Linked DNA regions of Saccharomyces cerevisiae S288C. Each later gene encodes a partner of the first gene's protein in a complex. Each region holds a gene or a part of one and is shown on either strand. Other genes may lie near its edges.

Region 1 (3,065 bases):
AACTGACTTTGATTATTATTTAGTTAGTAGGCAACTGTCATGTTGCAACCACAACAAGCAACAATCCTTTCACCATGACTATTATAAGCGGCCGGCAAAATTGCCGGGAAAACTGCCAGGGATATAATGCAACCTTCATTTGAGCACTTAAAATAGAAGATAACGTTGGTAAACCCCCCTTGATAGTGGACACATCCTACGTAGATCTCTCTACAGCCAAGTCGTATATATAGCAGCAAATTGCAACCAACCACATGGGACATAGGAATGAGTGGTTTTCTCAGACCCTGAACGTGACCGTCCATCATGAATTTCTCCACAGTTTTTCAAGCAATAATCGCGGTTTTAGGTTTAACTACAGTCACAGCTTTAGCAGAATTTGATTTCGACGTAGGCTATGAAGAGTTTGTCCGTACCAATCCTGATACGATTTTCTTAGAGAGTGATATTGGCCTGCACGTTGGATATACCGAGGGTGGCGAACGACAGATAGCAACGATACCACACAATTCCACGCTAGGGACTTCACTACGTGAGTATAGTGGCTGTGGTGGTAATGGTACAGAAACCTCCATCGCTACCCCCGCACCTACAATGAGTGAGGTACCTATCGCTACCTTCGTGAAACGTAGAAAAAGTGTACCTATCTTGCTACCGCAGGTATGTATGTGAAGAGTTGGTGAATTTTGAGATAATTGTTGGGATTCCATTTTTAATAAGGCAATAATATTAGGTATGTAGAATGTACTAGAAGTTCTCCTCGAGGATTTAGGAATCCATAAAAGGGAATCTGCAATTCTACACAATTCTATAAATATTATTATCATCATTTTATATGTTAATATTCATTGATCCTATTACATTATCAATCCTTGCGTTTCAGCTTCCACTAATTTAGATGACTATTTCTCATCATTTGCGTCATCTTCTAACACCGTATATGATAATATACTAGTAACGTAAATACTAGTTAGTAGATGATAGTTGATTTTTATTCCAACAGTATGGGAGGTATATGAACCCCTACAACCACTCATTTAGAAGTGGGGGACTGTAGTTCTTTTATGAAGTAACGAAATTTTATGAAGTAACAACAAATGTTGTTAATTGTAATCTTAATAATCTAACATTTAATAAATCTTGACCTTAGACTTTTTTGTCTATTCATAATATGCTGATATTACTTTTCTTAAATATAAATATAATCTATATAATATTATTAACGAAATGTAGGAAGCTAAAAAAAAAAAAAAAAAAAAGAAAGAGACTTTTATGCGTATATTTAGGTACCCCGGTACTTACTTCTGTATATATAAATCAGTGAATCAATACATATTTTTTTTTAATGTTTTGTCCTTATAACGCGACTTATTCAAAAGAAAAAAAGAAGTCCCATGCAAAAATCTTGTCATTATTGCGAATGGATATATCAGTGAGACCTTTTTAAGGTTGTAGGGAAAAGGAAGTACGCTTCATTACAATTTCGTTCATGTCTTGCTCGCCTACTTGTTTTGCTCATAAATCCCATCAGCACCATTGTATGCGCCCTTCGTAGGAAATTAACGCATCTGAAGAAAAAAAGAACTGCAAGATAATGACACACAGCACGGTCATCGACTGTCGAAAGGAAACCTTAAAAAAGTAATCGGCACCTCAACCTTGATGAATTATAATCTATCCAAGTATCCAGACGACGTGTCGAGACTTTTCAAGCCAAGGCCACCTTTATCTTACAAAAGACCAACCGATTACCCATATGCGAAGAGACAAACAAATCCAAATATCACTGGCGTTGCAAACTTACTATCAACCTCTTTGAAGCACTATATGGAGGAGTTTCCTGAAGGATCTCCAAACAACCATCTCCAAAGATACGAAGACATCAAACTTTCCAAGATCAAAAATGCTCAATTGTTAGACCGGAGACTACAAAATTGGAATCCTAACGTTGACCCTCATATCAAGGACACAGATCCCTACAGAACGATATTTATTGGGAGGCTACCATACGATCTTGACGAAATTGAACTGCAAAAGTATTTTGTTAAGTTTGGCGAGATCGAAAAAATTAGGATAGTCAAGGACAAGATAACCCAGAAGAGTAAAGGCTACGCCTTCATAGTTTTCAAAGACCCAATAAGTAGTAAAATGGCATTCAAGGAGATTGGAGTACACAGAGGTATCCAAATCAAAGACAGAATCTGCATAGTCGACATAGAAAGAGGCAGAACCGTTAAATATTTCAAGCCAAGAAGATTGGGCGGCGGCCTAGGAGGCAGAGGCTATTCCAACAGAGACAGCAGGCTTCCAGGAAGGTTTGCAAGCGCAAGTACATCAAATCCCGCCGAAAGAAATTATGCTCCCAGGCTGCCACGCAGGGAAACTTCTTCCTCCGCATATAGCGCTGATAGATACGGCAGTTCCACATTGGACGCGAGGTACCGTGGAAACAGGCCATTGCTCTCCGCCGCCACTCCTACTGCTGCTGTTACTTCTGTATATAAATCTAGAAACTCACGGACTCGAGAGTCTCAACCAGCTCCCAAAGAAGCGCCCGACTATTGAATATAAGTAATACTTAAACTCTGCTACTTGTTGTCTATGATTACCCGCACATCAGTTAATTTGGATACTTTTTTCCCTTTCTCAGACTTTGCCCCTATAACAAAATAAGAGAAAAACAGCCCGCATTTAACACAAGATACTATAGCAAAGGAGACCAGAGAAGACTCAACACAACACACGCGAACGATCAAGCAATGGAAGCCGATTGGAGGAGAATTGACATCGATGCATTTGATCCAGAGAGTGGCAGACTAACCGCTGCCGATCTGGTACCACCATACGAAACTACTGTCACATTACAAGAATTACAACCTCGAATGAATCAATTGCGCTCGCTTGCCACAAGTGGTGACTCTTTGGGAGCCGTTCAATTACTCACAACCGATCCTCCATACAGTGCAGATGCTCCAACAAAGGAGCAATATTTTAAGAGCGTCCTTGAAGCATTGACACAAGTCAGGCAAGCCGATATTGGTAATGTAATCAAAAATTTGAGTGAT
Region 2 (2,751 bases), on another chromosome or scaffold:
TATTTGTAATAAGAGAAAGCTTACCATTTTGCAGAGGATGGAAAGACTTAGGTCTATAAAATCAGCCAAATGGGAGAAATTGAAAAAATTTGAAAGCACTCTGATGCTTATGGGAAAATGTGTTCCTATTAGCACAAAGACTAAGACAGATATGATAAACCGCATAAGACAGCTGGCTGTCAGAATGGACTGGTTAATCTACGAAATTAAGAGAAGCGAGCTGTTTGTAAGTATCATAAAAGAAGTGACTCGCAAGCAGGCTGAAAAGAATATCTTAGAGCATGGTAAAGGAGAAGAGGAGGGGCAAGGCAATAACGACGATAGTGATGGTATAGATGATATAGAGGAAAGCTTCTTATTCAACGAGAACAGTTTGCAAGTGTGCGTGAGCGACAGTAGTTACGACGAATATAGTAACGAATAAGGGGAAGAAAATAGTACCATGGGTTATAAATGCATGTTATTTATTTATATATTTTTACATATTCTATATGTATGTGTTATACCTTTTTCTTTTTCTCGAAATGTCTATCCAGTCTATTGCTGCCAAGGTTTAAGATCCTAGGACAGCCATCTTTATCTTTACCTAAGCGGCAGCACTCCCAACAATAGAATGCGTCATTGACTCCAACATTTAGATTACAAATTATACAATTTTTAGCTTGTTTACCAAACGAACAGTTTTCACATACTCTAACTTTCCTTTTGGGCCTTACATAAGAGTCGCAGATAGGACATTTGCCATCACATTTTTCACAAAGAAGACCTGTCTGTACACCAGGCTGCTTTAGGCACATTATTAGATCAAACTGATGGCGGGACATGTTTTTTTTGTTGGAGGCTTGTATGTGTGTGGATCTTTTTTGTATCCATCTTCATTTTCTATGTTGAATGCCTTAGTAAGTGAGAAATATGGCAAGTAATGCATATATGGAAGAACAGAAAGTGAGAAAAAAAAATAGAAAAAAAGATGCAAGGAGTTGAGCCAAGGGAGAGACCATACCCTCAGCCAAATATCCAAATATCATATAAAAAGATGGAAGAGTGTCCTATTTGTTTGGCAGATGACCAAGAGGGTGAACAATTTGGATGTTTGAACGTTTGCGGGCATAAATTCCACTTAAACTGTATAAGAGAGTGGCACAAGTATAGTATCAACTTGAAGTGCCCCATCTGCAGGGTTGAATCCACCCATTTAGAAGTTGGCGAAGGGCAACATGCACTTTCTATAAATTTGAAGATGGGGTTTATGATTAAGAATGCTATCGATTATGTGGGGGCCGAAACAACTAACGAAAGAAATGAGGACGATACAGGGGAGCAAGACCAAGAAATAGAATTTCTCAGCGAAAGGCTTAGAGGTACGCTGGTGATGGATACCATTAAGATAATTCAGTGCAGCATATGCGGAGACACAGATGTTTCTCGATTAAGCCTGTATTGCCAAGACTGCGAAGCAATATATCACGAAACATGTCTACGCGGGCTAGCTTGTGAGGTGGGCGATCGCAATACGTGGCAGGAGTGCACAGATTGTAGATCAAATGCATTGCTCGAGCTGCGCATGGGTGCTATCAGTAGCCAACTTGCTAGCTACGATTCCAGGAATTCCATGATTTTTGCTGGTGAGTTACGGGACAAGCACAGCGTCAAGACACAGCAGATGTATGAACAGATACGGAATGCCAAGCACAAAATCCAGATGCACGTGCGACGAGCACTGGACCGGTACCCACTGCCTCTGCTGCGCTTCAAGGATGCCTACAAGCACGTCAACAAGCAAGTATCCCGCAAGTTGTACCGTCTCTCTGACAACAAGTACCTGCCTGACCAGTACGATTACGACTCTTTAGCCCGAACTGGAGTGCACACAGAACTCCTAATTTACTGTCATGATGAGTAGTAATGCAATATAACATTAAAACAAGATATAAACAGTATAATACTCTAGTATGAGCCCTAAAAAAAACCCTCAGAAGCGGGTGACCCATCTCTCGTACGACGTATAAAAGCACAAGTTTGACCCATAGAATTTTTTTTTCACATCTTCCTTTGTTTGCTTCTTCGTCTTCAATAGAAAACAGTTGAACAAACTCAAATATAGCACCATTGTGAGTGCTACTGCACTACAAAGAGGCAGATTAAGCGACCAGTAGGTCCCTTGGAAGAGATAATATATGAGTTCCTTTTTTCTTTTTCCATTTTCTTTCTGTGTGACTCCCCTATGATTAAAAATTATTAATCATATACCAATTGTTCCGACTGAATAGTGGTTTAACTACATGTCGACAACCCTTTTTCGTTAAGTTTCAGCCTTGTATGAGGGGTGCCACGGAAGGGAAGAAAAGAAAGCATTTATCTTTCATTATTATCTTTTTCATGCCTGCAATGGAATTTTTAATTTTCCTTTTGATATGATGATTTGTTGTCGACCGGGCGGACATATTAGTATCTGTTAAAGGGTCGCCGTCTACTCTCATCGTTCTTTTGTGTACAAATTTTTTAAAGGAGCGATGTTGATGGCATTATGGTTCTTTAGTGGAGAATTGATGATTGGTCACAAGACATCTGATTTTTTCGGAAATTTGTTTCTTATTTCAATTTATTCCTTATCAGTTGATTTGGATGATAAAAGAGACTGTTGCGGACTAGTTTATTATGATGATTTTTTTATATTCACACTGTACTAGATTGGTCTCTTTAACGAAGGGGCTAATTGATGACTACAAAATAAAAAATAACTGATTTAAT

The links. Proteins that work in one complex are often made in the same cells at the same time.
Region 2: SNP1 (region 1) and RDS3 share a complex: the UniProt entries of both Saccharomyces cerevisiae proteins name them as parts of the spliceosome.

What each region holds. Positions count from the first base shown.
Region 1 is NC_001141.2:244,157-247,221, reverse strand, and holds SNP1 (U1 snRNP complex subunit SNP1), read left to right. Parts: upstream 1-1,662; coding exon 1,663-2,565; downstream 2,566-3,065. Other genes in the region: YIL059C (uncharacterized protein), read left to right, coding at 307-672; YIL060W (uncharacterized protein), read right to left, coding at 396-830; ARC15 (Arc15p), read left to right, coding at 2,760-3,065. UniProt on the Saccharomyces cerevisiae protein: Involved in nuclear mRNA splicing.
Region 2 is NC_001148.4:718,710-721,460, reverse strand, and holds RDS3 (U2 snRNP complex subunit RDS3), read right to left. Parts: upstream 825-2,751; coding exon 501-824; downstream 1-500. Other genes in the region: Arf family guanine nucleotide exchange factor SYT1, read left to right, coding at 1-424; ubiquitin-protein ligase ASR1, read left to right, coding at 1,037-1,903. UniProt on the Saccharomyces cerevisiae protein: Required for pre-mRNA splicing. Involved in regulation of drug sensitivity and may play a role in multidrug resistance.